3 linked regions of the Astyanax mexicanus genome follow. The protein of the gene in region 2 purifies or fractionates together with the protein of the main gene of each other region. This does not show direct contact. Links are inferred from orthologs where the notes say so. Each region holds a gene or a part of one and is shown on either strand. Other genes may lie near its edges.

The links. The genes of interacting proteins can lie anywhere in the genome.
Region 1: the proteins of eef1a2 (region 2) and eef1b2 purify together in Homo sapiens (co-immunoprecipitation; 4 studies listed by BioGRID and IntAct, counting the BioPlex papers as one, with this or other methods). This does not show direct contact. The link is inferred for Astyanax mexicanus from reciprocal best matches to the Homo sapiens genes EEF1A2 and EEF1B2.
Region 3: the proteins of eef1a2 (region 2) and vars1 purify together in Homo sapiens (co-immunoprecipitation; 3 studies listed by BioGRID and IntAct, counting the BioPlex papers as one, with this or other methods). This does not show direct contact. The link is inferred for Astyanax mexicanus from reciprocal best matches to the Homo sapiens genes EEF1A2 and VARS1.

What each region holds. Positions count from the first base shown.
Region 1 is NC_064412.1:41,446,488-41,454,043, forward strand, and holds eef1b2 (elongation factor 1-beta), read right to left. Parts: upstream 5,212-7,556; 5' UTR 5,136-5,211; coding exon 5,056-5,135; intron 4,139-5,055; coding exon 4,016-4,138; intron 3,826-4,015; coding exon 3,696-3,825; intron 3,491-3,695; coding exon 3,427-3,490; intron 2,919-3,426; coding exon 2,793-2,918; intron 2,667-2,792; coding exon 2,512-2,666; 3' UTR 2,455-2,511; downstream 1-2,454. Other genes in the region: zdbf2 (DBF4-type zinc finger-containing protein 2), read right to left, coding at 229-262, 744-780. UniProt on the Homo sapiens protein: Catalytic subunit of the guanine nucleotide exchange factor (GEF) (eEF1B subcomplex) of the eukaryotic elongation factor 1 complex (eEF1).
Region 2 is NC_064420.1:29,050,498-29,058,053, reverse strand, and holds the start of eef1a2 (elongation factor 1-alpha 2), read right to left. Parts: upstream 4,587-7,556; 5' UTR 4,326-4,586; intron 4,071-4,325; exon of another isoform or gene 4,066-4,070; 5' UTR 4,013-4,065; coding exon 3,869-4,012; intron 2,414-3,868; coding exon 2,234-2,413; intron 1-2,233. UniProt on the Homo sapiens protein: Translation elongation factor that catalyzes the GTP-dependent binding of aminoacyl-tRNA (aa-tRNA) to the A-site of ribosomes during the elongation phase of protein synthesis.
Region 3 is NC_064413.1:5,088,385-5,095,940, reverse strand, and holds the start of vars1 (valine--tRNA ligase), read right to left. Parts: upstream 4,705-7,556; 5' UTR 4,633-4,704; intron 2,971-4,632; 5' UTR 2,969-2,970; coding exon 2,624-2,968; intron 1,839-2,623; coding exon 1,695-1,838; intron 1,265-1,694; coding exon 1,054-1,264; intron 1-1,053. UniProt on the Homo sapiens protein: Catalyzes the attachment of valine to tRNA(Val).

The DNA.
Region 1 (7,556 bases), on a different chromosome or scaffold from region 2:
ACTAAACTAAACTAAATAACATCAAGGCAAGTGGCAACTTGGTCCATTGACTCTATATTATATATTTAGTCAATAAAATGTGAAATGTAGTGTCCTGGAGTAACAAGGCAATAAGAAATATCAACCTCTGGTCACATCACCAACAAAACCAAGTGTGTATGAAGGCATATGTATGCCTAAGAGATAGCAACAGGAGCATTTATATTATGATTCCTAAAAAAATCTTACCTGTTATCCATGTTGGTTTCCTCTCTCCCTGCATCTATAAAATATCATGGAATAACATATATCAGTTAGGGGTGGGTGACATGGTCCAAAAGTATATTAAGATATTATACAAAGACTAATCAAGACTAATCTTAGCATGATTTTTCTGATAGTTAATTAGTCAACAATAAGGTTTCTGTTCCTGGCTTTCTCTATTGTTTTAAAACAATACAAAATGCTGAATATAGGATTTAAATGCTCTTTAAACACTCAAAAAGACATTTAAATGTAAAATATTTTGATATTTATTGATAATATATGCAATCTGTTCTGTCTGTCACTTTTGGTGACCAAGCTGAGTGTTAATGGAGTGAGTGAGCAGCCCTAAATTCTCAATTACTGTGTGCAGCGCATTGTAGTTACAAATTAACGATTAGACAACACTGATATTTCTTTGTTATTAACACTATTAATAATGTTGACTAATCATATAGGCACTAGTGTAAAAGACTGTGGAAAATGCACTGTATACATACTTTTAGCAGATGGTGCAGGTCTCTCCTCCAGTGGCATAATAAGTTACTGTCTGTAAAGTAAAGAATTAAGAGTTAAACGTCTAGCTGAGACCACTGTGATAAAGTCTAAAGCAGAAAAGTTTACTCACGTGCCAAGAGGAGAGGACGGGGATTTACGAGGCTGGAAAATCACATCACTGCATGTGGACTGGCCAACTTAACTCACGCGGCCAAGAGGGATGACTGGCATCTATACAGGTAAAACATGGAATATCTCTGGTATCAGCAGAGGAGACTTATTAATCTACTACGTTTAGAAACTAACAACTCTACAAAGTGGTTAAAATTCTCTCAGTTAAGCATGTATGATCTTAAGCAGACAAATTAGCTAGCTATGTATTTAGCAAGTTACTTCAGCGAACAGCCAAAGTCTTACTCAGCAGGAATGGTAGTAAATAAGATTTCTGTGACTGACTGTGGGTAGCTAGCCTAGCTAATCATTAGTTAACTAACCAACCTCGGTGATCCGGCCTGCGGCACAGCCCAGTCGTTTTTACACTGATTAGCTAGGTTTGCTAACATAGCAAGCTGGCTTAGTTTATAATCACAGACGAACACATTTCCAAGGTTATCCCACTTCCCACAGGTTATATTTTCTCCAGACGCGGCGTTTATAAAGCACTAAACTGCGCACAAACTCAAAAATATTCAGGCTACCCACCTCCAGCTAACGCTAGCAAGCAAACTTAGCTCGAACTAGAGCAGCCGGACAGGCGGAGGTTAAGTTAGCAGGCTAGCATGTTAACGGCAGGCCTGGCGATTTATTCAATGGTGAAAATAATGTTAAACCGTAACAGCGACTGGCAGCAGAGGAAAGTCGCGCTGCAGCACTTACAGTGAAGTCATTATAGACACTGATAAACTGCGCTCTTCAGCTTTTTTCACCTGACTGAAAATGTTTCTCCATTCTGGTCCCGTCGGCACCCGTATTTGGCGCAGGGCTTCTCGTGTGACGTCAGAGCAAAGCGCGGGAACCCACCCTCTTTCCCAAAGTTAGGTGGTCTACATGTCACTCTTTATCCAAATATTTGATTTAAAAAAATAATAACGGGGGGGGGAACAAAAAAAAAAAAAACTTTAACAATTTTATAAAATGTCAGTACAATTCCCTCTGTTCAAAACCCAACTCCAAAGGAAGTTGAGGGTGCTGTACAAGATGTAGATTAAAAGGTCTTAAAAAAAAAAAAAAAAAATTATATATATATATATATTTTCACACACACACATAAAGTAAATAATGCAATGACTTGTGAATCTCACACCCATACAGTAAAAGTTTAAGGCTAATCCCTGGGGACATTTCAGAATGCAACAGGGGAACAGCTCCCTCCGCAAGCCTTTAGAAAACCATTTTCAGCAGGAATTTCCTCCCATCCCCCTTTGGTCAAGATGTGTACATTCAGAATAGAAGCATTTGAAATTATTTAAAAGTTTAGGAGCCTATTGAGTAATATATGATTATTGTGGAGTCGTGTTTCACAGTTTTATAGCAACACTAAAATGGAACCCAGGAGTATTAGTGCTAAGCATTCTCCCACCTTAGGGAGGCCATGTACCTTGGTTAATTGGTTGCATTTTGAACAGGGAAAATACATGCAAAGTTAGTGGTCTCCTCATACCAGAATGAACCCGATGCACTGCCTAAAAAATAAATTAAAACAATAGTTCACACTTCAAAATCAAATTGTTTTATTTCAAGTGCTTTTTGTGTAATGCTTTTTCCATGTTTCTAGATCTTGTTGAAGGCAGCAACGTCAACAGACTGTATGTGATCTTCAAAGGCAGTGATCAGTTCCTCCAGCTGATCTGTTCCTACTTTGTCATCTTCTACTACACACGCAATCTGCAGTTTCTTGATGCCGTAGCCAACAGGCACCAGTTTGGCTGTAGAGAAAGTGAAGACAAGTTTTTTTTAAAAATATGTCTAACTGACCATGCAGTTACTATTAAAATTGTGCAGCATCTTCATTTTTACATTTATAAAATAAGAATGCAAAAGAGCAGACTTACACTGGCCCCAAACCAAACCGTCCAGTTCAATGGATCGTACACATTCCTCAAGCTTGGCCATGTCTGTTTCATCGTCCCAGGGCTTGACGTCCAAAAGAATAGAGGACTTTGCAATAAGGGCTGGCTCTACAGAGACATTTAAAAAAAAAAAAAAAAAAAAGTTAGTTACAGGTGTATTAACACACCTGTATTTTGTACAAAAGGCAGCAAGATCACTGCACTTTGTTATAGGGTCACCCTGGCTGGGGAAAAAAAAAAAAGGTGTGTGTATATATATATATACACACACACACACACATATATATATATATATAAAAAAATAATAAAAATCCTTCTTACAATTCATAGCAGGATGAACTTTAACCTACAAGAACATGCCTATACATATGCCTACAATTTACACTGCAATGTATTACAAGTTTGCTACAGTAATGTTACTCATCACTAAACTGTATCTGCTCCCATTACTTCAAATACCAAAATACATCCTTTGTAAACTATTCAGGCATATACATAAAATACATAAATATTAGAGTCATGCCTCACATTTAAATTTATGTTTAAAAAAATAGATCAATTAAATGCAAGGTTTAGACCAATGTGCCCTTTTAACCCAAACAGCTGAGTGTCATACTTTTGGACTTCTTTGCATTGTAGGCTGCCAGTCTCTCCTCCTTGATCCTTGCAGTCTCTTCATCCTTAGAATGGAAAGAAAAGAGAGAGAACAAACCCACACATTAGTAAGGTAAAGCAGTAAAATTTGGACAGACATTTTCTTAATTCTGGTAATCAGGTAAAAGAAAAGATCCATCACAACTTCAGTCGAAAGATGGTGAAAAAGTATTCATCACACAACCAGTAGACAGTTACAGAGTGAACATCTTGAAATGATTCAAAACAAACCTCTTCCTCATCAGAGCCGAACAGATCAATGTCATCATCGTCGTCATCGTTAGCAGGAGCGGCTCCGCCAGTAGTGTCTTCCACTCCAGCAGGTCCGTACTGACCCAGGGGCTTCTTCACTCCAGGGAGGCTGAAACAGTCAGAGGCAGAGTACAGTTAGTTCTACAGGCATGCAGGCACATCACCACTAGTCTAACTGTCTCTCAGGGACATCAGTGTTTAAAAGATTGTGCATCATCTTGTCAGGCGAAAGATGGTGAAAAAACTCATCATGTGCTGAGAATCATAAACTTGCATGATGCATTGTTGCTTTTAGTTACCTGGCCTTCTCTTTTTGGTAGGACTTGATGTGGTTGTACCAGCGAAGAGCGTGGCATAGGTCAGTTGGGGGGGCACCAGACAAGGCATCAAACACAGCAACATCAGCCTGTGATGGGACATACCTGTGGGACAAAAAAAGAAAGACTCACATTTTAGGCAGACATACATGCTTGAAAGAAAAAAAAAAAAAAAAAAGGACATGCTGGCTTTCTCGTTTCCCTTCAGAGTGCACAACTTAAGCCATTAAAGTATGGCTTTCACACTAGGGCTGCACAAAATACCATTTCAGAATCACCATCACAACGTACACACGCATAATAATATTCACAATACTATAGCATGCAGGCGCAGTGTGAGATTATTTTATAACATTTTAGCACCACCACATGCATATTGAGCTGCAGTTGACAACCCTGAACAAGTTTAAAAAAAATAGCGCTCTGCTCCGTTTTAAAGAGGGAAATTACTACAATTATTAAAATTGTAATTTTTATTTAACATAACGAAAAAGGGGGCATAAACAATTCATAACACCTACCCAAACAATTCCAACTCAGTCAATTTACAAGCTAAAAACGCACTTTTCGACCACGAAAAATCTAAAAGATATATAATAAAAATTAAATCAGCTCTGAACATCCACAAGCTTCTTCAGAGGTGTATTAAACTTTTCAGACTTCAAGACGTGACACAGTTTTAACACGTAGGCGGTTACAGATCAGGCCACGCAGACAGAAGAACAGCCGAACTTAGCTTAGCTGCTGAAGACAAAAGGCCGAATACATTCCTTACAAGACAGCTGTATAATTTAGATAGCTACATATCTAGATAAACTAATAGACTACATCGCGCCAGGTTGCAGCTAACATTAAATTTATTAGTAATTTATTAGTAGTAACTGGAGGGCCAGCACCACATACAACCACATGGAGAGTAACGTAGCTAGCCTAGTTAACTTAGCTTAGCCACTTAGCTAACCTTGCTAACGAATTAACTTCTCATCAAATTCGTCCAAAACCTGTTCCTAAAACGTACTCACCCCTCAATATAGCTTTTGTCAGCCAGAAACTCATTCAGAACCTTAAGGCCGGCGGGGGTTTTGAGATCACCGAAGCCCATTGTAAGATAGTTAGGAAAGCCGGTCGGTAGACGTCTGGCTCTTAGCTTGAAGGAAACGCGAAGGAATGAGAAAGTGCTGTGTAAAAGACTTTATACCGCCTGAGACTCCTCCCTCTCCTCCTGCTTCTGCTACAGACCCGTTCTCACTGTTTAGGACCTTTTTTGTTCAAATAACCAAAATAACAAACTATCTAGAATATAGACTAATATATATAATTATATATAATTATTTAAAAAAGCTACCTCATTATTTTGAGGTAAGTCATTATTTTGACATACTAAATTATTTTAAGATACTAAGGGGTTATTTTGACATACTAGTTATCTATATACTTTGACATACTTTATCGATATTTTGTAATAAAGAATATTTTTAATAAATCATTATTTTGACATACTAAATTGGTAATTGTGCGATACTTCTTCATTATAAGACAGTAAGCCATTATTTTGACATGCAAATTTGTTATTTTGACATAAGTCTCTAAATCTTTTTTTGCATGCCTTTTTTGTGTCAGTTTTTTGTTACATAGATAGAAAAATAATACATGCACCTAAAATTATAACAATAATAAATAAAATATGATGACATTTAAGGTATAAAATATAGATAAACTATGGATAGGAATTAAACTAAATAAATAATAAAATGCAAATATTACGCAATAATAATAATAATAATAATAATAATAATAATAATAATAATAATAATAATAATAATAATAATAATAATAATAATAAAAAACACAATCAAGTAATACTTTGATAAGATTTTAGATTTTTTTATTTTTGGTGTCTCATGAAAGAAAAACAGAAACGGATGTGACGTAATGGGTTATGGCAAAAGCGAAAAAAATATTGTGTAGCATTATATATTTTAACTGAAATATATGTTTTAGTTACATTCTAATTTTACTTAATAAAATAGCTCCGTTTATTGTTTAATAATTGGAATATATACAATATATTTTTGGGTCGTTTTCTCTTATCGAACTACTTCGGCTATTTCCGTCAGCACAGCCGAAGTCCTCCGAAAACTCCTGCGTAACTGGACGCTCTGACTACAGTTCCGCTGTTCTGGTCTAGAAGGCCAAATAGCGCCAAGGTGAGTAAAAACTACATGAGTTTAGCTTTCTTTAGAGGCTGTAAGATGTTTGAGCTTGTAGTTTATGTATATCTGAAAGGGAAAAGGCTCAGTGAACTCGCAGAACTGTAAATAGAGAAAATGTTCCCCCTGTCCTTGGTTTGACCAGCAGTGCAGCGTTAGCTACTGCTAACGTTAGCTTCTCCGCTAACGTAACCTGTCTCTACCAAACGCTCACATTCTGTTAGTGGCTCCAGGATTTCTACAGGCTGTGATTTACACTTTCTCTGTGGTCTTCAGGATTGACTGTACCACGGTTCTCTTCTTAACATGCACTTTATTCGTTTTAATTATTATTGTTTACAACCCATGGCCATGTAGTTATGTAGGTTAGCTAGTCAGTTTAGCTGAAAGTGTCTCACAGCTGGTTTTACTGCCTGCATAAAGTCACAGCTTATAGTACCAGCTAGATGTGTTAAACTAAAAATCTACATATATGAGTTTATTGTATATGTGTTTGTTTTATCGTCCATCTTAGTTCACACAGCTGTTGCAAGTGGTGTTCATATCCTAATGTTCGGGATAATATAGCTAGCTGAATTAGACACAACTGCAGCCCTTGACCTACGGAGACCCTGAAGTGTCAAGTTAGAAATTCAGTATTTACAAGCTAAAACTGTTCCCTTTTAAATACGACATTGTTCCCTCATCGAATAAAATGTACCGTGGATTATACAGGTCGTTCCCTCAGTTATCATTTCTGTACTGTTTAAATTTAGTGTACATATCTTTTCTTCACTCCTTATAACGTCTATATTATTATATTAATATATATGACTACATCAATTAACAGTACTTAGAACAGTAATAAACATTGATAAAAGGTTAAATAACGTCTCCACTAGTTATTAATAGACACTAGTTAAGACATTGTTAAACATTCCATTTAAATGCAAAGAATTTTGTGAATGTTGTATTGTGAATGATTAACATTATTTTAACTAATAAATACACTCTTGCGAGTACTATTAATGTACGTTGTATCGTAAAATGTTAGCAATATCTCTGTGTTGTTGGTTTTATTGTTTTTGACATCTCTGCTCTTTTATGCTCTATATTTTATATATTTTTTCTTGTGTCTTCTGTGTTTTAAATTAGTGGGCAGTTGTTAAAGCATTTCGCATGCATACCAGTTGTGCCATGTATGACTATGTATGTGACAAACTTTGTAACTTAACTAAATTGTCCTCTCTAAGATGGTGTATTGAATATTACGTTGACAGAACAAATTGTTAAAATAACAGAATGATTTATAAAATGACAAGCAGTTTGTTAAA
Region 2 (7,556 bases):
CCTGAAAACTGTTTATTTGGGTAAGTAAAGTGCTTTCATTTATTTACAGTAAGCTTAAATTTCCAGATTTCCACTAAGGCTATCCAGACAGCACAACACTGAGCAACCCTGAGTGTTCCAGTAAGCCAGGGCGATATTAGTTAGCAGTTCATCCCACATAGCTTGTTTTATCATGGTGAAGAGAAAGGCTACAGTCTGATGCACTCACCTCTGAACGCAGAAACAGCTAAGTAGTGCTTAGCGTGATTAGCGAGTAATGCTATTGTTGATCTGGCAGTTTTAGCCGGGGTTAGCAGCAGGCTACGGTCCGAAATACTTGCCTCTAAACCACGAGAGAGCTAATTAGCTCTTAGCGCAGTAAGTGGGTAATGCTAATGCTATCTGGAGTTAGGAGCAGGCGACAGGCTGATAATACTACCTCTGAAAGGCGAAAGAGCTAGCGCTTAGCACGGTTAGCAGCTAATGCTTATACTGATCCAGTCTCGAGTCTTGCTCGGGTGCTGGGGAACTAAAATATAGAATTAAACTATAACGCTGCACTTCAGTAGAGTGGCTTTACTGCTCCTTACAACCTGACTGGTACAATTCACACACTGACGATTTTTGGGAAAATTAAAGAATTTTTAAATGCGTCTTATAGTGCAGAAAATATAACAAGTCCTGCAGGAACTATACACATAAGCCAAAATATTATGATCACCTGCCAAATATGCAAATGTTCATAAACCGCCCACTCTGCAAGACCTATGAAGGTGCCCTGTTGTATCTGGCTTCAATAAATTAGCATCTGATCCTTTTTACTTTGTTTAACTAAGTTGTGAATTACATCAGCTATATCAGATATATTCAGTCATGGCCGAAGTTTTTGTGCCCCCCTGAAGTATTTCTCACTGAAAACGATTGCAGCTACACATATTTTGTTATGTCCATTTTTAATTCCTTTGTGTATACTGCAAGACAACATAAAATCTAAAATTAACAAAGGATTTTGGGTCGCAATGTAGGGCCCAGTGTCAGACAGCTGACTTTGCCTCCTTGGTCTTGGGCCTTCCAACAGGACAATGACCCTAAACATACTTTAAAAAGCACCCAGAGATAGATGAGAAAAAAGTGCTAGAGAGTTCTGAAGCTGCCAGCAATTAGTCCAGATCTAAATCCTATTGAACACCTGTGGATAGGTCTTAAAATCCCTTCATATTTAAGAGACCTGGAGCATTTTGCAAACGAAGAGTGGTCCAAAATTTTAGAGGTTTAGAGGTGTAAGAAGCTTATTGATGGTTATAGGAAGCAATTTTCCAAAGTTTGTGCAATCAAAAATTTTAATTGAGGCTGCCAGTAATTTTGTCTGGTGTTTATATACAGAAATTATATACATTTTTGGCTTTCTCAGTTTTCTGTGCTGTTCCAATACACACGAATGAAAGTATACATGTATATAAACAAAACATGTAATTGCAATAAAATTCTGGGAGAAATACTTAATTTTGCCAGTCACTTTCATGACTATATGATGTGGATGCAGTGCATCCCATGATAAAAACAAGTACTTGTGCCTTGACACAGGACCATAAATTGAAAAGCATCTTAGGAGTACACAATTTATCACAATGCTCTGAACACAGAAACAGCTAACTAGCGCTTAGCGTGGTTAGCAAGTAATGCTAATGTTGCTCTGGCAGTTCTAGCCGGGGTTAGCAGCAGGCTACGGTCCGAAATACTTACCTCTAAAACACGAAAGAGCTAATTAGCGCTTAGCTCAGTTAGTGGGTAATGTTAATGCTATCTGGAGCAGGCTACAGGCTGATAATACTACCTCTGAAAGGCGATAGAGCTAGTGCTTAGCACAGTTAGCAGGTAATGCTAATGCTGCTCCAGCAGTGAATTTGCAATGAGATTGCAAGTTCAATCCTTGGTCATACCACAACCATCCAGCCAAGAGAGTCCAAAAAAGAAAAATTGGCTTTGCTGTCTCTCCATCCATCATTCAGCTAAACGCAAGTGCAGGCATCTGTTAGCTGACATTACAGAACAGCTGTTAGTGTTCTCCTGCAAGTAAGTTCAGCTGCTAAATGACTGCAGACAGCAGATTAAATACAGCTTTATTTACAGTATATATCTGCAGAACTGGAGACAAAGGGGCCTTTCAGCAGACACTGACCTATAACACTAATATGTCCAAGGCCTGATGTTTCAGCCTTTGCCTGGAAAATATCGATATGTGATGCAGCTTTACCTGGGAAGTCCCTGTGATCATGTTCTTGATAAAATCTCTGTGACCTGGAGCATCTATGATGGTAATGTAGTATTTAGAAGTCTCAAATTTCCAGAGAGAGATGTCTATGGTGATGCCTCTCTCTCGCTCTGCCTTTAGCTTGTCCAATACCCAGGCATACTTAAAGGATCCTTTCCCCATCTGGACAGCAGACAAAAAATTGGAAAGTTTAAATTCAATAAGCATTTCTATTATATTATGAAAATCCTATGATAAAAGGTTTTTGTGCAACAGTGACAAGAAGAGAAAGTTTAAAGAAACAAATATCATTCTACAGTAGTAAACATTTGTTTAGCATATCTGTATTAATGTAATGCTGAGCATCATCCGTCATTTTAAAAGCTTTATATGTTTGAGATTTCCATTTTAACATTAATTTTAGTTTTTTTTTTTTATATCATATATTCAACTTGATCAAGGAAAAATGTTAAATTCTAATGGCTGTACTTGTGATTTTATCATTCAGCCAAAATCGTCATTGAACTTCTATACATTTTAGGTTTGTTTTTTTGTTGTTGTTTTTTTAATAGATGAACAGATTTTACCAGTATGAACTCGTCTGGTTTCTCAAAAAAAATCCTGAAGAATTTGATCCCTGATTAATCCAGAATTAGGTTTAATTCTCCTCTGGAAAACTAATTCTAACATCCTAATAATGTACTAATGAATACACAATCAAATAATAAGTTTTTTTTTTCCATTTTGACTACTTTCAAGAACCTTTTACATATGAAGAACTTTGTGATAAATACCCTTTTTTGATCTAATCAATACAAATAATTTACCATAGAAATGATTTTATTTACAGCTACAAAAACACTCCAGATTATCAATTTCTGATTGATTAAAAAAACAGTGTTTTAACAAAATGTTGATAAAAGGACATTTAGAAAGCAATATAATTTCAAATAAATCAAAACATGGTCAAATTAATACATATCTAAATTCTGAAATGTACATGTCTAATTAAGAGTATTTGAGTATCCTATGAACTATATGGGATGTAAATAATATAATCTTGTGTATGTATGACTGTCTTCTATAAACGAATAAATGCATAAAGGTATGACATACTATTAAAACACCCCACAAAACAAGGATTTAAACTTTTTAAGTTTTTAAGTCAGTTTTACGACACTCTGTCTGCCTGAAAATCCAATCATATATATTATAACTGACTTCTTTTTATTAGTAATGGCATTCTTTGGATATTTTGTATATATTTTGTTTTGCTCTTGCCTGTACAGAAACATGTTAACTGAAACATGTAATAGATCATCCTATAAATCATTTTTTACAGGTAGACACTCAGAAACTTTTTAAAGCACAAATTGCATGCCAAACCAGGGAGTGGTCTGGAGTTAAATAATACAGACTATATACACAGTGTTCCTATGTATCACAAACCAGCACAAACATGCCCATGAAAACACTGGTTGACTATTTTTTTTCAAACCAGGAATGCCAGTTCAAATACACAACCTATTGTTTTCTTTCTATATTCATTACTTTCAGTTTTCATCTCCAAGCCTGAAAACTTAGTAGGGCTACCACAGTAAACATAGAAGCTTCTGGAAAGTTAATATCTGTCTGTACCTCTGCAGCCTCCTTCTCAAATTTCTCGATGGTTCTCTTGTCAATGCCTCCACACTTATAGATGAGGTGACCGGTGGTGGTGGACTTCCCAGAGTCCACATGGCCAATCACAACAATATTAATGTGGATCTTTTCCTTCCCCATGATGAACAGAACACAGAGGGAAAGAAGAGAGAATGTTCCCACCCAGGGTTCCCCTGCTCTTCACAGACAGAATAAACAGCATTGCAGATTCATTATAAAACAAGATTAAAGCAGATTAATAAACTGTATCTAAACGTTTACATAAAGGAAATGTGATAAATGAATAGATATTAAAAAAAATATAGAAGAAGAAAAAAAATAAACAAACAAACACTCAGAGAAAGGCCGGAGAAACTACCTATAATGAATTCTGACTGCAGTGTAAACAGAAGCATAAACATAAACAGACAGATAGATGTCTTTGGGGTCTTACCTGCTGTAGCTGTGTGTTCAGGCAGCACAGCGTGTTCCCTCTGAACACCCTCTTTCTTCCTTAGCACTCCAACACAGGGGGGGTGGCAGGCTCTAAATCTGTCTGCGTAGTGAACGCACCCCACTTTGATACAGCAATGCGGCACTTTATGTGGGGAGGGAGGAGGGTAGGAGGGGGAGACAGAAGAGAGAGAGAGACAGAGGGAGACGAGAGAGATGCTGAAGCAGGGGATCTGCAAAGGCAGCAAGAGAAACCAAACAGAGAGGTGGGTGGGGGATGTATGCTGGGATGAAAGTTAGGAGAAAGGGAAGAAAAGGATGGGAGAAAACTCCAGCATCACACTGCAAGCCTGAGTGACTCAGCACATTCCTAAAGATTCCCTTGAGATTTAGAACATGTGTAATCATAATCATCAGGACTAAATCATAATACTGTGAGTTCCTCACATCTGTGGAAATCTGGCTGACACAATAGAATAGAATTAAGCATTTCAAGTTTTTATATATAAATACAGAGCGCTGGAAAAAGCAAAAGAGCACTACGTGTCTGAATCAATCAGTTACAAATACAAATATTGTCATTTAGAGCATTCATTTGCAAAAAATGAGAAATGGCTGAAATAACATAAAAAGGTGCAGAGCTTTCAGTCCTCAAACAATGCAAAGAAAACAAGTTCACATTCATAAAGTTTTAAGAGTTCAGAAATCAATATTTGGTGGAATAACCCTTGATTTTAATCACAGTTTGCATGCATCTTGCAATGTTCTCCTCCACCAGTCTTACACACTGCTTTTGGATAACTTTCTGCCACTCCTAGTCCAAAAACTCAGACAGATCATCCGTCTTCCGCTTGATTATATTCCAGAGGTTTTTAATTTGGTAAAATCAACTCATCATTTTTACGTGGTCTCTTATTTTTTTCCTGAGCTGTATACACAGTCCAAGTAGAATATTATGACATTGTTTCTACGATCTTTGTCAGTCTTGTCAGCTGAAGTCTGCTGTTTACTACAGCCCATTTGTTTCTCTGCATTCAGTGTTATACTTCTTTCACCCTGGTGGGTCATCCTTCAGGCAGCTTTGCAGTGTTGTGCTGCAGGCATGAGTGGATCGGACACAGCAGTGCTGCTGGAGTTTTTAAACTCTTCACTTCTGGAATGAAATTAGTCCACCAACCGGAAACAGTAGCTGGGTAGCGATATCCAATAGAGTGGACAGTAAAAAAAAGCAGCACTGCAGTGTCTAATCCAACATATACTACATTAGAACAACATACACCAGCACACCACAGATGTTGGTGTAGAACCGGCACTGACAGGAAGGTCAATTTATAGTACAGACAGATAATGCCTCAACACACAGTGCAGTCATTCTTTTAAGTTGATCAAGTTTATTAAATTAAAGACAGAAAGATCCACCCAAAAGGCAACAGAAAGGCCTGGTAAAGCATCTTAGGGAGGCAACTCAGTATTTGGAACAATTTGGGCCAATTTATGAATGAATTAATGAGTCAGCGACTTGGGGAATAAGCCTAGTTTTAGAACATTGTGTTTACGAAAGAAAATCTCCATTCAAAATGGAATATACAAAAGGTTATGCAGCTTAATCCCTGTTGGGGCAACCCGCCCAGAAATGTCAAACACTCAAAACTTTGCAGGTCCTTTGAAGGTCTTCATGTCACCTTAATTTTTAGAGCAATAGGGTTGTAATGGTATGTGTCTTGGTACCAAACCACCATGCAATGGGGGTGCACAAGCCAAACGTCAACATAAAGATGCAATGCATGGGATTATGGGAACTGTAGTGGATTTAGGAGCATTGCTATTGTAACTGTATTTTTCTATACACTTGCTGTGTGCACAGAAGGATTTATTTGGTATTTTAACCTGCTTATTCCTCACCTTTCTCTGCGACATTCTGACCTTTTACCATCTAATTTGACATTATGATGGATCAGCCAAGGAGGAAGTAATTGTGATGCTGGACAGTGTGTGTGTGTGTGTGTGGAAAGACATTAAACATCCTTAATCCATTTTTTACTGCTAAATTAATACAGTACAGGCTGACAGACTGACTACCTCAAGCCAGACTATATAGCACTAGGCAGAACTAACTTCATAAGAACTAACATGATAAGAAACTAGAAACCTAGACTATATTTTATTTTTTTCTTTGTACTGAGCTTGTACGGAACAATGAGGTCCAACCTGTGGTACAAACTAAACCATGGTACAAACTAATCCATGAATTTTGTGTACCATTACACAAGCATACTGTAGACAGTGAGTGCGTTTACATGCACTTTATAATTCAATTATTATGATCAGTGTTTACATAAAGTTACTGTTAACAGTTACTGTAACAGATACTGTTAAAATTCATTAGTTTAAAAAAAGTAAAGCCATAATTAGATTTTTGCTTTGCAATCAACTCAAATTTACAAAATAACAGGTGATAAACATCATGTAAATCTTTATCATAAAAACATACAATAGATAGAAGATTAAGAATATTGAAATCTGTTTGGGTTCAGCATTGCGCAAATGTGTTTTGTCGTCATCTCACTGGAGATGTTTTAAAGCTGCTGGCTTATTTCTGGTACCACAAGTTTACATGCACTGAAAAATACAATTGCTGAGCAAAAATCCAGCTCTCTTTAACAGATGATAGCATCAGACTCAGACTCTAAGACCTCAGTTCTAAGAAATTAAAGTATACTGTTTATATGACTACTTCAATAATTCGATTTTAACTTCAGTAACCTATTATTGAACATGCATGTAAAAACACTCAGTGTCTTTAGGTTACAGATCAGTGAATCGCCTGGATCTGCACCAGCACCCATCAAAAAGCCTCTGCACCCATATCTTTCTTCCAAAACACAACATAACTCACGCTGATACTTAAGTACAGTCTGATTTAATAAAAGGCTTTGCACCTTTTAAAACAAGAGCAGTAAATAAATACAGTAAAACATTATGGTTGTAAAATCACATTTCACCTTAACATGTAATGTAACATCTTTATTACCAATGAATTTGACTTTTGAATTTGAACCGTCACAGATGGGAAAATAAAAATACTAGCTTTACTGTATGACGGACATAAATGACCACTAGGTATGATTCCTCAAACAGAGGCTGCATTTCTTTATGTACTAAGAATTCATCCCTATCTGACCAATGATGATGATACCATCATAGACCCTGTATTTAACTGTTTCCAACAAAG
Region 3 (7,556 bases), on a different chromosome or scaffold from region 2:
TTGTTTTAATTTATGTTTGAATATGTTTCTTATTGTATTGTGTTGTTGCTGCTGGATGCCTAAATTTCCTTTGGGATAAATAAAGTATCTATCTATCTATCTATCTATCTATCTATCTATCTAAAAGAGATGATGAAGACAGATTTCTGCTGAACTGTGGTTTGAATTAAACCAAATCTGTTTAAAATCATGGCTTTGAAGGAAAGTAATCTATGGTTGCTCTATAAAGATTTTGCAACATATTTATAAGGCACACTTAAAATCCTTTAATTTTCCCCAAAATCGACAGTGCACCTTATGTATAAATTTTTACAGTCAGGTATTAAGGAACAGTAATACTAATGCTCTCCATCATTATTAGCATTAGCTGCTAACCCCTTTATCAGAGGTGAGTTTTATTGGCATGTAGTCTGCTGCTAACCCCGGCAAGCACTGCTGGAGCAGCATTAACATTAGCTGCTAACCCTGGCTAGCACTGCACTGTTTTCCATGTTAAAACAAGCTAAGTGGGAATAGTAATAGCGCCCTGGCTAACCAGAACACTCAAGGTTCCTTAGTGTAGAGCTGTTGGGCAGAATTAGCCTCTAACCGCAGCTAGCGCTAGCAGTTTAGCTAGCACTTTATCGTTAAATTGATATGGTTCCTGAATGCTTTCACTTCACTTTCACAATAATAATCACACACAGCTGATATAAAATACATATCTAGGTGGGTAAAAATGTCACCAGCTGACTTGTTGCAGTGGTGCCGTCCTATTACAGCACCACACAGGTGTTCAGTGAGCTCTTTACCACAACCTATACTTTTACTAATGTGTGTAAAGGCAGACTCCAGGGCTAGAGGCTTGATTTTATAAACCTGTGGCAACGGGACTGAAAGTAACATATAAATTCTATGGTTAGAAGGTGTCCCGATACTTTTTCCCCCACGTAGTGTACAAATCTGGAATCTGTGGCTTTTAAAGACTTCCGCAGATACTATTTCTGAATCACAGCAGGTTGTGAAAGGCAATTACCCTGGCTAACGCCCCCATACACTCCCACACGCACTCACCGCTGACAGGTGTGCTGCTGGGAGCAGTGCCGTTTGCTGCAGCAGCAGCAGTGGTGGTGTTGACAGCAGAGTTGGATTTAGGAGTCACCGGCACCATTTTTTCACAGAGTGTGATTTTGCCCAGCACTTTCAGGAGCTGCGGCTGATTGACACACGTATCAAACCACCTGCTTACGTTCACCAGGGTCTTCCTGTCTGATGGCTCCAATGCCTGAGAGAGCGTGAGAGAGGAACATGAGCATAAATATCACGCAGGGCCAATCACACCTTCAAACAAACCATCAAAACCTGACATTCAAGAAAAGTTTAGCAAAGAAAAACAACTAAACGGGACTGACTACTGACACCAGATGCAATCAATCAACATCATTCAAGACATGTTTGATATTTCTGTTGTCCTCCTCCTTTTAATTAGAGATATAAATAAGAAAGCATACATTTGTCATAAATATAATACACCTCCTTCTCTGTGTCAACTTTCTCATCACACAAAATAGTGATTTCTACACTGGCTCTATTGGGGTTCTGTATTGCCAGTTGAATGAGGAAATAAGGGGAACAGAACACTCAAGACCAATATATGAATGAACGAATGACCAGAGCTCCAAAACGGGCTATCAGCATGACTAAATACCACTTACATATTTAAAAGGCAGCAGCGCAGCCATTGCAACAGCTACATCAGCCAGAGACAAGCTCTCTCCAACCAGGAAGGTCCGCGGCTCTAAAATCTGATCCAGAACCTTCAAAACACGCAACAGCTCCGCCCGAGAACTCTGCTGCAACTGGAAGATAAGGAAATACATATTAAACATATAGACAACAGAATTATTCTATTTCTACATGCTCAAGAAAAGGCTTCTTAATGATTGTTTAAAAAAAAACAAAAAAACGTTTATTTGCTTTTATTGAAGTCCCTACTGTGGCTTTTTTTTGCCCAACTTATCCCAATACTATTGGATGGAGCTCCATAATTCCACAGTTTTACTTTGTTCCTCCCCCGTATCTATCTGTCGTGCTCGGTGTGACTTTAGTTTCCACCTGTTCTCGTTTTTCTGCCTGTTCTTGGGCTCCCTATCTTCTTATAAGGAAGTTTTTCCCCCACCATGTCTCAATTCACTAGCCGGGGCAACAGTAGTGTATTGTCCTGTGACCCTGACACTAAGTGTTGATTATTTAAATTTGTTGACTATAAATTTAATTGTCGACTAATTGTTAATTTGCAACAGTCCTGCATTAAACAAAATGCTAGGGACAAAATCGCAATGGGAGATGGGTAAAAGGCTTACTCACACAAGTTACACTTACACTTATTCTGACTCCAAAAGTGCCCAAACACCACATATTACATATTAACTCACTAAATATCAGAACATTTCGCGTTTAAAATTATTAAAAAAAAACAATCATTTAAAAAAAACTTAAAGGACAATTTGGATGTGTTTTTTTCTTTTTTTACTGCACTGTCAAAGTATTGGATCAGGACTCGGTATCGACAGATGCTTAAAATTTAATGAATCAGTCTCAGGGGCAAAAAAATGTGATCGGGACATCCCATATGGACAAGCACCTTTTTGTCGACTCCCATCACCCCCAACAGAGGGAAGACCACGGCACATGCCACAGGTGTGAGCTCATTCTCAGCAAAGCTCAGCCACTGCCACACCTCGCTCTGCTGCTGGGCATCGCTGCCCGTCCTCCCGCCCACAGATGCCAGGTACCAGCTGACCGCTCCGGCTCCGCACAGTGCCGTCGCCTCGGCGTCCCGCAGCACCAGGGCAGGGCGACATCGAGCTACTCTGGCTGGGGGCTCCTCTGCGAGGGTCTGCGGGCGGGATGGGGAGAATTCAGCTGCAATAAGGGCCTGCAAACTCCTAAAGTCATCAGGGTGGGAGGACACGTACAGGGAGTCCATCTCTAGAGAGAGAGTGAAAAAGAGAAAGAGAGAGAGAGTGTATGAATATGAATGACTAGACAGGCCAAAATAACTGAGACATCAAAACATTTAGCAGTAAAACACTGCACTGACTTTGGACTTAATATAATACAGTATGGATATATGGATATAATACAGTCTTGAGAAATAAAAGTGTGTATTAATCGTCTGAAAACTTGGTAGGTTCTGGAATTTTTAACATGGACAGGATTCAGTGTAGTGGCTAAAGCATGGAATAAATTGCATATCAATACACATCAATACAAATTATAACAGCATTTGTGTAACATTCATGTTTTTTTTTCTCTTTTGTGTTACAACGGCAAAATCATTTTAACATCAAATATCCTAATGCATACTGCAAATATTGGACATATAAGTATGCATACTGTCATTGCAAAGATACCATGAAATTTGGTGATATTATATAGCGGTAATATATGTTTTGTTGGAGTAGTGTAGGACTGTCGCAATAATTACATTATCAATTTATCGTATAATAAATGGACATGACCTCAATAATATTTGAAATCGTGACAGACTATTGTGTTTGTATATTTAACGATATTAACAGTATTTTAGCCAGTCATGCAGTGACCAATGTGGACATAAGTATGTAAATTAAAAGTATATATTTCCCAATCTAAAATGTCTTAAAATGACAAGAATATTGTTTAATATTGTTTATCTTAATAATTTCTGGCACAATATATCTTCCAAAATTAGTTTTTAATTTTGACAGGTCTACAGTGGTGTATTGTTGAATTTATATATTTTTTTTATTTCAATGTTTTGTTATATTGCAAAGGATATTGTTTTTGTAAACACCTTTGAGAAATATTGTGATATTATTTTAGGGCCATATTGTCTGTACCTAAATGTGAATTTAATTGCCCAGCCCTGTAAACTGTGTCTTGTAAAACTATTCATTTCAAAGTATTGTGATAGCTAAACTAGCTAACATTTATCCCATATTGTCCACCACTAAACTGAGACAGAAAACAGAAAGACTAGCCAATAAATGCCTATTTCTGCTCACTCAGCTGCTTGTCTAAATCAAGATTTTACACCTTGGGTGAAAAAGTACTGCATTGTCAAGATAAGAGTTAAGAAAGTGCTAAGCTAGCTACAAAAAAAAAAATCAACATTTGCCAGCTTCTTCTAGGAATGGTCCGTTCCACCTTAAATACATCAGCTGTAACATAGAGGCGCCGGTCAGGAGCTGTACGTAACTGCTGCAGAATTTAAGGTGGACCGGAAAATTACAACAAGACAACTTAAGCTCCCCAAAAGCTAACAGGCTAGCTTGTTCTTATTCATGTACACTCTTTAATATCGATATTCCAAACAAACAAAACAGCGAGTGAAGTCCCACACTCGTCTTATTCAGTAAAACAGGCCAAACTGAAGCTGAAACCGGTATAAATTAAGGAAATTTAAGGGCAGAAGTAGCACGGGGAAGTGATGACAGGGGGTTACTGTGCTAAACTTCGCTCTCCGCTGCCGCCGGTCAGTCAGACAGGGTTAAAAAAGAGGTCTAGACGTTTCTGAAGGGAACAGGCGGCGTGTTATCACGATTTAACGTCATTTTAAAGCAAAAAAGGATAAAATATTAACAACATAACCAACACGCTCCCACTCACCGCAACAGCGTACAGTCAGCCTTAATCCCGCGTGCGCCAGGCGCGTAGAGTAGCAACGGGCTCTGCCGCAAAGCTGCGGCTAGTGCCGTAAAAACGAAAGTAGTCTGATGCAACCAGACATGCTAATAATAATAATGGAGAATAATAAAGAATGATGGATAATAATGGAGAATGATGGAATATGATGAAGAATGGTGGAGAATAATAGAGAATGACGGAGAATGGTGAAAAATAAATAAGAATAATGGAAAATTATGGAAAATAAGATAGAGAATGATAGAGAATGATGGATAATGATTTAAAATATTTGAAAAAAAATAGAGAATGATGGAGAATAATGGAGAATGATGGAACATGATGGAGAACAACAGAGAATAATGGAGATCGATAGTAACAATGGACAATGATTGATATGTATATATACCAAGTCCTGATCTGATACTTTATCAATATAGAAGCTTAAACTGCGGTAATTAAGTGGAATTTGATGATAAAATAGCCCGGCTGGGCTTTGTTAAAAATCCTTTGCAGGCGATGATTGCCTTAAGTCTGGAACATATGGATATCACCAAACACTAGGTTTTCTCCTTTTATGATGCTTTGCCAGGCCTTTACTGCACCTGATTTTACTTCTGGGATGCTTTAGCAGTATGTTTTAGGTCACTGTCCATCTGTACTGTTAAGTGTCTTCCAATCAACCTCACTGTATTGGTTAAATTTGAGCAAATTAAATCCCTGTAACTTTAGAATTCATCCTTCTGCTTCTATTCTGTCACATCATCAATACATACTAGTGATCCGATGCCACTGGAAGCCAGGCATGCCCATACTACCACCACCATGTTTTACAGGTAACATGGTGAGCTTTGTATCGAGCCATTCCAAGCCTTCTCCATACTTAAATGGTCTCAAAAGTCTCATAAGTGACACTGTTGCAAATTGACAGGCAAAATAATAAGGCCATTAAAGCCACATCCAAGGGTAAACAGAGCCATCTAGTGTACCGACTTCAACACTGAACACTAAAACAATGTTCCTCTGCTGATCTTTTGCAGAATTTGGAACTGGAAATAAGAGTTTTGAATCTGGATCATGAAAAACAGGACTCTGGTAGAGCTAGAAAATCATTTAAAATTTTAGACTTTTGGCTTGCAAAAGCATTTTAGTACTTAAGTACACAGTAGTGAAGTAAAAATAATACTCCAGTAGAAACAGATACAGTATTTTACTACTTATATACACAACAGTAAAGTAAAAATAATACTCCAGTATATACAGATACAGTATTTAAGTACTTAAGTACACAGTAGTGGAATAAAAATAATAATCCAGAAGATATAGATATAGTAATTTAGTACTTAAGTACACAGTAGTGAAGTGACAATAATACTCCAGTAGATACAGATACAGCGTTATTTTAGTACTTAAGTACACAGTAGTGAAGTAAAAATAATAATCCAGTAGATACAGATACAATATTTTAATACTTAAGTACAGTAGTGAAGTAAAAAATTATATTCCAGTAGATGCAGATACATAATTATTTTAGTACTTGCATGAAGATACAGCATTTTAGTACTTAAGTACTGAGTAGGGAAGTAAAAATAATACTCCAGTATATACAGATACAGTATTTTAATGCTTAAGTACAATAGTGAAATAAAAATAATACTTCAGTGGATATAGAATTTTAGTACTTAAGTACAGTTGTGAAGTAAAAATAATACTCCAGTAGATAGATATACAGCATGTTAGTACTCGAGTATAGTAGTGAAATAAAAATATAACTCCAGTTGATCCAGATACAGTATTATTTTAGTACTTAAGTACACAGTAGTAGTGAAGTAAAAATAATACTCCAGTAGATACAGTGACAACATTTTAGTACTTAAATACACAGTAGTGAAGTAGTTCAATACCTCTGGTATTATTAAATCTTGTATTTATATATTTGTATTTGTATTTATATGTTATGATTAGCTTAACCTCCTGAACCTCTGCCTTTGTTGCTAGGCGTCGAGCATGACGTAGCAAAGCTGCTACTTCCTCCTCCGGATGGGATGGGTCGTTTTTTTTTAGGACCTGTTTTTAGGGAGGCTCCGCCTTCCTGTCTTGTGATTGGCTGGTGCTGTTTCGCTTTCTGCGCTTGGATTGGCTGTAGCTTCACACTTGCCATTGAGCCGTGCATTTCTGGCCAATCTCTGTGGAGGGGGCGGGGTTTTGTCGGAATACGGGTGGGAAATGGAACAAGGCGCCGGGATGCTGAGGCTGAGGCTGGATGTGGTCGGAACGGAATATTAGGATATTTATTTAAACGTTTAAACGACATACAGCGAGCAAATACAGACGGAAAAGCAACGGTACAGTGCATTTACGTGTTATCGTGTGTTAAATACGGGTTAAATACTGCGGTTTTAGGGGTTTGGTTGTAGAGCTGTTGTGGCGCATCACATCTAAAATCAGATTCCCACAGTCTGCTAAAGAGAACAAAGACTAACTCATATAAACCTCAAATATTATCTCAAATATATTAAATACATATGATCTAAAAACAGATCGTGGTTCATTTCCATTTTCATTTCATTTTTAGCTCACTATTAATCATTTTTATGTTTTTCTTTGTCGGTCTTTTGTCAGTATGACTTTTTTCATCTCTTTTGTTCACCATCACTTCATTCTCAGCAGCTGATTACATCTGTTTTTTTTTTTCAGAAAGTTTATAAATGTTTCTCTTTTATTTTAATTTTAATTTAGTAAAAAAAAATAACAGCTTAACAGTCGTAATTGTAACTGTTTTCTACACTATATATATATATATATATATGATATTTGTATAGTTTTTTGTGTTTTATAGTGTAATATGTATAATAAATATAGTCACCCAGCCAGCAGCCATAGGCCTTAAAGGAGAAATTGAATACAGC